Canis lupus familiaris: one gene and its partner. The protein of the gene in region 1 interacts with the protein of each later gene in a pairwise test. Links are inferred from orthologs where the notes say so. Each region holds a gene or a part of one and is shown on either strand. Other genes may lie near its edges.

What was found.
Region 2: the proteins of EVL (region 1) and TRIM9 interact in binary tests that used the Homo sapiens proteins (3 or more experiments, as listed by UniProt). The two-hybrid records come from large-scale screens. The link is inferred for Canis lupus familiaris from reciprocal best matches to the Homo sapiens genes EVL and TRIM9.

Annotation. Positions count from the first base shown.
Region 1 is NC_049229.1:68,867,092-68,871,846, forward strand, and holds part of EVL (ena/VASP-like protein), read left to right. Parts: intron 1-2,221; coding exon 2,222-2,288; intron 2,289-2,646; coding exon 2,647-2,704; intron 2,705-4,461; coding exon 4,462-4,499; 3' UTR 4,500-4,755. UniProt on the Homo sapiens protein: Ena/VASP proteins are actin-associated proteins involved in a range of processes dependent on cytoskeleton remodeling and cell polarity such as axon guidance and lamellipodial and filopodial dynamics in migrating cells.
Region 2 is NC_049229.1:27,612,198-27,616,952, reverse strand, and holds part of TRIM9 (E3 ubiquitin-protein ligase TRIM9), read left to right. Parts: intron 1-3,511; coding exon 3,512-3,669; intron 3,670-4,755. UniProt on the Homo sapiens protein: E3 ubiquitin-protein ligase which ubiquitinates itself in cooperation with an E2 enzyme UBE2D2/UBC4 and serves as a targeting signal for proteasomal degradation.

The DNA of each region.
Region 1 (4,755 bases):
CACTTCCTGCAGGTGGAGCATGGTGGGCTGCCAAGTGTTCCCACTTGGGATGGGGCTCTCCACCTCTGAGACCAGTGTGCTCTCCAGTTCCACGGAGGGCTCCGAAGGGGGCAGGCGGCCACAGTCTGCCTCGGGTGACCCCGGGGGAGCTGTCAGGTGTGCATGTGGGAGAACCAGAGCCCCGACAGGTGAAACAGTTTGTCCAGGTGGCCCCAGAAATGGCTGCTGGAACAGGCCCCGACCCCACAGACGGACATGTGGGCCGGGGGTCTCAGGCTGCACCTCCTTCCCCACCAGGATCCAAAGCTATTTAGTGTCCTTCAGAACCACACTGGCCTCTCTTCAGTTCAGCCAGGAGAGGAGCAGGAGCATGTTCTTCTTGGATTTCTTTTTTTTTTTTTTCTTAAGGTTTAATTTATTGAGAGAGAGCACAAGAGCAGGGGGGGAGGCAGAGGGAGAAGCAGACTCCCCGCTGAGCTGGGAGCCCCACACGGGGTTCGATCCCAGGACCCTGAGACCATGACCTGAGCCAAAGGCAGCCACTTCACCAACTGAGCCCCTCCTTTTTTTTTTTTTTTTTTTTTTATTCCAGGTTTAGGTATTAGACCCCTAGATTTATTCAGGGGTTGGTTTTCTCAGCTTTTTAAAAATATAGTTGACATCCAGCATCGTCTGAGTGTGATGTGTGCAACACGGCGATCGATGTCTGTGTGATCTGTGTCTGTGAGAGGTCTGTGAGATGCTCACCGTGATGAGGTTAGCGGACACAGCCACCACTCGGGGTCAAGATCCTGTCTTAGCCGCCTCTAGGGTACCACACCATGCGCTCAGCTGTGGCCACCATGCTGCGCATTAGATCCCAGAACTCACGACTACACCCGGAGGCGTGTGCCCTTTGACCTCCTTCACCCGCCCCGGCCGACAGCCACCTATCTGCCGTGTTCCTGTGGGCTCGCCAGTGAGACCAGCAGTGCTTGCCTTCCTCTGCCTGCTGATCCAGCCAGCGTCGTACCCTCGGGGTGTCCTGGCGTCCCTGTTGTCACTCGCGGCAGGACTCGGTTTTTAGGGCCGGGTGCACTGCATCTTCTTCGTTCGTCTGTCAGCAGACGGTACTTCCACGTCGAGGCCACTGTCAGTAACGTTGCCGTGACCCGGGGGGCCCTGCCTTCAGGACCGCAGTCTTCCTTCCTTCAGACACCCCCAGCAGCAGCTCTGGCCTGGGTTGTCGTGGGCCCTCCCTGCTGCCCGAGGTGGCCACCCACACACACTGCGGCTGCCCAGCCTGCCCCGTCCCTAGAGAGGAGCCCCTCGCAGCCATGCTGGCTGGCCCTGCCGGGTCACGTGTGTGTCCACCATCCGTCACCTCCGTGGTCCTCACAGCCGGCTCGGGCCACACCACTTCCCTGGTCCCGCAGGCTCCAGCCGCCATTCTCTCCACGGGAGATGAGTGGGCTTCAGACGGTGGGCCCCTCCGCCCCCACTGCCCTGTTCTAGAGGCTGAGTGCTCAGATGAGCATTCTGTAAAGATTTTCCAGGGATGGTTCCCATGCAAGAGACATTAACTATCGAACTAGCTAACCTTAGTTCAGCAGCGTTTCAAAGGACAGTCCGTGTGACCGAGACCCTTTGCCTCAGAAGAGCAACACCACATCCAAGGACGTTTCCTGAAAAAAAAGTTACACGCTAGGACCAGTTCCCAACGCCAGGGAGGTTGGTTGGTTGGAAGCAGATGCTGTTGGGATGAGTGTTTACTGTGTGATTTTTGTGACTTTGCATCCTACGTAAAGTCCTCGTCACTGGTTTCCCCGAGCCCCGGTTTAGGCAGGGACAGATCCCTCACCAGCGAGGAGCTTGCCGGTGTCTGCTGTCCAGAGCGGGCAGTGCGACCGGAACAGTGACCGTGGCATTGGCGCGTCTGTGTACGAGCTCTCACGTCCCCACACAGCCCCTTCGTTGTACCCCGCGGTTGGGAAGGCTGGCCACGGTGTTCATGAGACCCTCTTGAGGTGGAGACGTGCCACTAGACTCCTTTCAGGGTAGCTCAAGGCTGGCCAGGCGTAAAAGCAAAAAGCTTCTGATGGGAAGAGGGCAGTGCTTGACGCCCGGGCCTCGGCCCTGCGCTTGGAGGCCCTGGCACACCCGCCTGCCTTATCTGTCCCCGCGTGGTGGGCGCCCGCCAGGACCTGCTGCCCTCCTTACCGCACCCTGCCACCCTCTCCAGGATGAAGCCGGTGGGGAGCGTGAATGACGTGGCCTTGGATGCCTTAGATTTGGATCGGATGAAACAGGTGAGTGTGACCTTTCCTGAGAGGCTGTGCAGGAGCCAGAGGCTGGGACCCTCTCATGTCCACGCGGGCAGGCAGGGTGGCCAGAGGTCTGTCAGGGGGCGTCCACGCTCAGCACTGGGCCCCCAACCCCATCAGCAGCAGAGAAGCCTCCCTCTGCCCTTCTGGCCCCCCAGCCTGCTCTGGGGCCGCCCCTGGTTTCTGCAGCAGGACTTGGGGTGGGGTGCCGTCTCCCATTCACTCCAACCTTGCCCTGTGGGGACGCAAATAAGATGCGTCCTTGGGACACACCGCCCCTGGCAAAGCCAGCTTCCTCCACTCTGTTTCCTGTCCCTTCACTTTGAAGCTCTGCTCCCTACAGGAGATCCTCGAGGAGGTAGTCCGAGAGCTCCACAAAGTGAAGGAGGAAATCATCGACGGTGAGTGGAGGGCCTGCCCCGGGACGTCAGCCAGGGTCCCTGCGGGGCGGCGGGGCGGCCCGCCCCCTGGGCTGCGAGGCAGCGGAGCCGTGCTGGCCCAGCAGGGAGACCATCCTGGGCCCAGACGCCCAAGGTCCCGTGGCCACGGTTCTGTCCCTCCTGCTGATCACATCCCCCCCGTTCTCTGGTCAAGCCAACTGAGGCTCAGTTAAGTGACTTGCCCAAGATATGTATGTTCCTGGTGGGGTGACAGCTAGATCTGCACTCACCCGGCTTCCTCCCTGGGGTGAATGTGTGAGTGTGGACCGGGAGAGTGATCCGAGGATGCGTTCCTGAGCAAGACCAGTGAAGCAGCCTGAACGGTGATCCTTGGCTGCCTCAGCATCTGTGCACTCAGACCGCCGTCCCTGAGTCTCCCACCTTTGATCACCGGGTTTGGGTTAGGAGGGCGGCTGCTGCCTTCCTGGGGGTGGGGGTGGGGGGGTAACGGAGACCAAGAAGCTCCGGGACGACCTGTGGGTCTGACACAGTTCCCAGCGGGCCTGGCCTTGGGCCGGGAGGGCAGGCATGTGTCTCCCGCTCCGAGTGTTGAGTGTCGGGCTCCCGAGGGCAGGGCCCTTGCAGTGGATCACATCCGTCCTTCCGGTTCCTGCCAGAGCCTTTGATACACTGGCTCAGGTCCCAAGCCAGAGGAAGAGGAGAGGTTCAGGCAGAGCCGGCTGGCCCCGGGAGCAAGCAGAGAGGCGCAGCTTGGGCCCCCCACCCCACCAAGCCTGGGCCTGGCCCCCGAGGCAGCAGAGGGGACCCCGGCAATGAGCTAAAAGGGGTGGGTGCTGGTGGCAGGCGGCTGGAGAGAGGGGAGGCCAGGATGGGAGCCTGCGTGTGGGGCCAGAGATCCAACCCCCTGCCCCGAGCTGTGAGCACCGCGCCCTGTCCTTGCCCCAGCCGAGAACTGGTGTTCCTGTTTGTCCAGTCCCCCCCGCAGGCCTGGGATGGGCAGATAAGGAGTTAATGAATGAAGAGCGAGGCTCAGCTGGGAGCCAGAGAGGACACAGGCCAACTATTAACTCCGCTTTATTGCTGGGGGCCCCGTCTGGGAGGGGCCGCCAGCTGGCCCCGGGGCCAGAGCCCGTGGGCGCCAGAGCGGGGTTGCACAGCCAGGCTGGAGGCTGTGGGGGGGGGGGGGGGGGGGCAGCTGGGGCGGGTGCCGCAGGCCAGGCCCGGGGGGAAGCTGCCTCGAGGGTGGACCTCCCCTGAGGCCGGGGCAGCACGGGCCGGGGCTCCGAGGAGCATCCCCTGGTTGGATGAGTGCCCAGCACTTGGCTCTTTTGGCTCCAGGCCCGGGGGCGAGGGGGGTCTGTCCCCAGTGTCATGGTGAAATCTGTCCCCGCACTGCGGTGTCTGTGTCCACGTGGTACTAAACGCTCTCCCCCAAGTGTGGGGAGAGGGGTGGGGTCGGGGGGGCCGGGGAGAAGACGAGAGGCAGCGCTGCCAGGACAGTCCCCCTGCTCAAGGCCGGGCGCTACCTGCTGCCGCTGCCGGAACCAGGGGCCACCTGCCCGAGCGGCTCACAGGCCCCCACCGGCTCGGGGTGGCAGGCAGGTCGGGTCGCCCGCAGGGCTGTGCTGCCTGGGGACCCCTGGGTGCGGCGCCCAGGACACGGGGCCGGGCACAGCCCAGAGGCCCCCCCGGGGGCGCGGGGACGGGGCGCCAGAGAACCAACAGGCCCGCCCTGAGCCTCCCTGTCCGCCCCGCAGCCATCAGGCAGGAGCTGAGCGGGATCAGCACCTCGTAGCGGCCTGGCCCCGCCGCCGAGACGCCAGGCCAGGCCCGCGACGGCGGGGGACGGCGCACGCAAGCTCGCGCTGGAGCCGGAGGGGCTTCGTTTCAAAGTCTTAACCTGTGATGAAATATTAAAATGAGGAAACAAGTTCAACTTCTGGATTTTTTTAGATTCTACCTGACACAGAACTCCAGGTCTACTCGCCTTTTTTGTATTTTATATTTGCCTATTTAAGTGTACATTTCTTTTGGTTTATAGAGGACTCCCC
Region 2 (4,755 bases), about 41 Mb from region 1:
TGCAGGAACTTCTCTCTAGTACACTATTACCGCACACTAGATTGGAGAGGCAGTGTAGTGCAGTTGAAGCACCCAGGCCCTGGAGCCAGCCTGCTTGTCCTCAGATCCCGCCTCTGCCAACTAGTAGCCATGAAGATGTTCTGTGTTTCAGTTTCCTCATCAACCAATTAGAAATAATAACAGCATCCGTTATTGTGGGGGTGCTGTGAAAACCACATGAGTGACTGCATCCTCTCACCACACTGCCAGGTATTTGGTAAGTGCTCAGAAAACATCAGCAGCCATTAGTTTCCACGTCCAGAGTGGGTGGCCATGTGTCCTTCCATGTCCTTGTCACACTCTTGTCCTATGACCTTTCACAGAGGAATCCTGCATCATTGTGAGTGTTGACAATCGGAAGGACTTGAAAAAAAAATAAATGACTATGAAAGATGTAAGTTATAATTTGAACTAGAATGGTAAGACATTTGAAAACTTTAAGGAGACACCATTGCAGAATTTAATTTTGAGCCAAGGCTCTACAAAGTCACCTTCAAGGAAGTCTGTAAGAACAGTTACCCTTATAACTAAGAAGAGAATTTTTAGCCTGAAGCTTGATTTTTATGAGCTAAAAGAATGCTGAGCAATAGACTTCTGATAAGGTCAGGAACCACTAGTTCTTTAGGAAAAACAAAAACGTCCAAGCGTGGTCAAAGTGTTAAGATTAAGACAGCTATGGCAGCCGAATGACAGAATTTTCAATGAAATAAAAATTCTTAGAGTTCAGCCCAGGAACTGTGATGCAATCCATTTCCAAAACACAAATAATAAGTTAATTTGAAAATACTCTGGATTCTTATAGACCATTTATTTTATACCTAATAAAGTGAAATAGGGTAATAACACCCACTATAAAATCTGCTTTTCTAAAATGTCAGCCTTAGTCTTTGCTAATGAGGCTGTAATTTTGTCACACTTGCCTTTTATATGCAACATCACTTTGGGGTAAATAAGGAAACAGAAAAAATAATTCTAAGCACATTGAGAAATAGATTTAGACATGCAAATGTCTCTATGTTCCTTCATTTTTGTTTCTCTCTCTTATTCTCTCTCCCTCCTTCTCTCATTTTGCTTATTTGTTTGCTTAATTTGTTTAAATTCTGAACAGTACTAAAATCTGAAGGTCAGTAAGTGGTTAGACTTTTTATTATCTTTTTGGTCTTTTAAAGTGTATCCACGGGGATCCCTGGGTGGCTCAGCGGTTTCGCGCCTGCCTTTGGCCCAGGGCACGATCCTGGAGTCCCGGGATCGAGTTCCGAGTCGGGCTCCTGGCATGGAGCCTGCTTCTCCCTCTGCCTGTGTCTCTGCCTCTCTCTCTCTCTCTCTCTCTCTCTCTCTCTCTCTTTCTCTATGTCTATCATAAATAAATAAAAATAAATCTTTTAAAAAAATTTAAAAAATAAAGTGTATCCACTGAGGACTTACAAATGAAGTTCCCATGTTTTAATTACACCTGACACCATGTATTTCAATTAATCTGTTAATTATACCTAATATCTATACAAGGAAACTTGAGTTTCTTATCAGAGACATTGCAAGCATTTGCATGATTCAAGCTGAAACCATCTTGTGATCTTATTCTTTGATTTTAAAATTGATGAAATGTAGATTTCCTTGAAACATAAAGGGAAATGAAGGGAAATAAAGGGAAAATGAAGGGAAATAAAGATTTCCCAATAAAGGGAAAATGAAGATTGATGAGCAGCTAATAAAATAAAGAGAATCCAAGGAATAGGTTGTTTTATTGTAGGCTCTGATTCATAAGGACAGCTAAGAGCAAATATCCCCAGGGAGAATCATTCCATCTCTAGAAGCCCTTTGAAGAACGGTTTGCTTAAATTTATCATAATTTACTCCCTGGTTAATATATTAAAGTTTATTATTTTTATTAGGGAAAAAATGTTGATGACAAAGTAGTTTCCTAATACATGATGACCTAAAGTTCACCCTCCAATTACAACTCTCAGGTGATATCTTGTTTATGAGTAGATGATCATTAGGAGTTACGTCTTCTCTCCCCCCCTTCCCATCCAGTCCTGTAGTCTATTCCTTGAACAAAGCAATGAATTATCTGCTTTCCTCTGATTCCAGATGTTCGGGAGCCTCTGAGGCTGTAGAAGCCACTCTTATAAGACCTACAGAACTCTATGCCATTGAAACCTGAAACACGATTTCCCTTACTAAACTCACCACCTCCAATTAACTGGTCATACTTTTGATTTCATTATGTTTGATGTAGTAACTCAGGCTTGGTTTTCTCGTCTTTTCATAAGTATAATCAACCTGCCTCACCTTCACATCTCTTGTGTTATGGTCACTGCTTTTGTTTTCTAGGCTATCCACCATAGAACCTGTTTCCTAAACTGCTATTAAATAAACCATTTTTGGCTGAGGTGCAGATTTTGGCAGGGAGCAGATAATTTGATGCATGACACAGAGTCCAATTTTGGTACAGCATACCAGGTGTTCTATAATTAACATTTGTTCATTTAAATGTCCCTGGATGTGGTCTAAACTGTTCTCTCTATTGTTAAAGTGCTACAGAAATAAATTAATGTTTTGGTGCTAAAAAAATTGTTAAGCAGTGGGTAAAAACATTGCTCCCAAATACATACATTGAGTTCATAGATTAGGAACTGGGATTGTTGTTATCCAACACTTCCATATCTGTGTGTCTAAAGGCTCAACCACTCTACAGTTTGAAGTAATAGAAAATACTCTCAGCACAAAATGGGGACAGGGGCATGTTGTGACTAGTAATACTGTGACAGATTCTCACAGAGTGGTAAGGACATTTTGACCCTCCCCTGCTGGGCCCCTTCTGCTCCCATACTACTCTCCAGGCTCACAGTTGGCTGTTCTACACCTGCAGAAAGTGGACTTGAGCTAGCGTAGCTACCTTCAAAGAATGAGGTCAAGTTCTTAGAAGTTTTGTTATGGAGAAATCACTGTTTTTATGTCACTTAGTACTAACTTTTCAAAAATTCACTGTTACAGCTACTTATACGCACAAGACCTTGAGTAGAATTGCTGGTAAAACCAACAAATAGACAAACAAAAACCTGCTCAGAATAGGCAGCTCCAAGTTTATACACTGGAGGTCAAGGCTCTGAATAAATTTAATGATAAGTTTTTCAGCCATGTTATGGGTTAAATAGGCTTTAGTGGGCTGAGCTGGAAACCCATCCCCCATAAAATACCTTCCCCTTAGGGATGATGTCTTCAGTGCCCAGGGGGTGAGAAACAGAGCAATTATCTCCCCGGCAGTTAAGGTAGGACGTATCATCATGAGTTTGGCAGAAGGCAGCACAGTGGCTCAGGAACCAGTCCCATTCCTAGAAACTCTGGAAGGGATCCAGGTCAGGTCCCCCATGGGCTAGCTACTTGGTTGATGAGGGGGATGTTTCTCATTCCAAGATACTGAAATGTTTGCAACTCAACAGAAGCCAGAGTTACACTAATTTCTGTTTAGCTTCCTCTCCAGTCCCAGCAACCCCCATTCTGCAGCTGGAGGAGTGTTGTACCCACAACAACAGTGCCACGCTGTCCTGGAAACAGCCACCTCTGTCCACGGTGCCTGCCGAAGGCTACATTCTGGAGCTGGATGATGGCAATGGTGGTCAGTTTCGGGTGAGTAGAGAATCTGTTATTTGTTAACCAAAGCCAGTGACCACCTCAGAGGACCCATTGTGGGGTCTCAAGCCAAGCTTCCCCACCTCCCCCGAGGCCAGACTATCCTGGCAGAGTCTGCCTCTCCTTCATCTGAGGCCTACATTCTTCTCGAACCATCATCAAAGACGGAGGAAAGAGTCTCTGAATAGAAACTACTCTACCCTCCTTAAGAGAAAGCACATGCCATACTACAAGCTCTGGAGTCCAGCTGCTTGCACTCAGGTCCCAATTCCACCATCTAGCGGTGTGACTGTGCCCATTTCTCACTTCTTTGAGCCTTCAGGACTTCGTCTGTAATATGAACCTGTACCTCACACATGGTTTTTAAGAGTCAGTTAGATAATCCGTATAAAATTCTTAGCATGCCAGGATCCCAGACCCCCATCTTGTTAGTGTCCCACCAGAGAGTTATCATTTTAAGGCTGTGCTTTGAATACAAAATATTTTTACTCATTACATCAGCATAATGTTGCAAAAGCATACAGCTAAAGAGGGAGGCACATGCCTAACCTATGCTAAAGATGCATCATGCTGCGATTTATTTTAAGCCTTTGAAATGTCATTCTTCCTCCCGCTCATTTCCTCCCCCCTTCCCTCTGCACTGTGATAAAACCTATACGCCTATGACTTTGAGTGTAATTTTTGTCACAGTTCCTGAAGTTACCAGTGGAGTTATAAACACAGCATAGAGACCACCCTCATGTTTTCCAAACAAGTTTTTACAAATCACACTGATGGGTAAAGAGTTGGGTAGGTATAATATATGTATAGATGCCAAGGTAATAGTAATAAGCATAATGCTAACTCTAAGCACTCAATTCTAGTGTTTTAAGCCCTAACCACTAGTAAATACCATGCATTAAGCTGACAGGCCCATGCTAAACATAAGGCACTATGTTAGTTTGTGCACAGAACCTCCTTCTATGATCATCATAGCAACCTCATAAACTGGGTATCATCTGTCCCCATTTTACAGATGAGGAAACTGAGACTTTAAAAGGCCAATTAGGGGTTCCTGGGTGGCTCAGTCGGTTGAGCATCCAA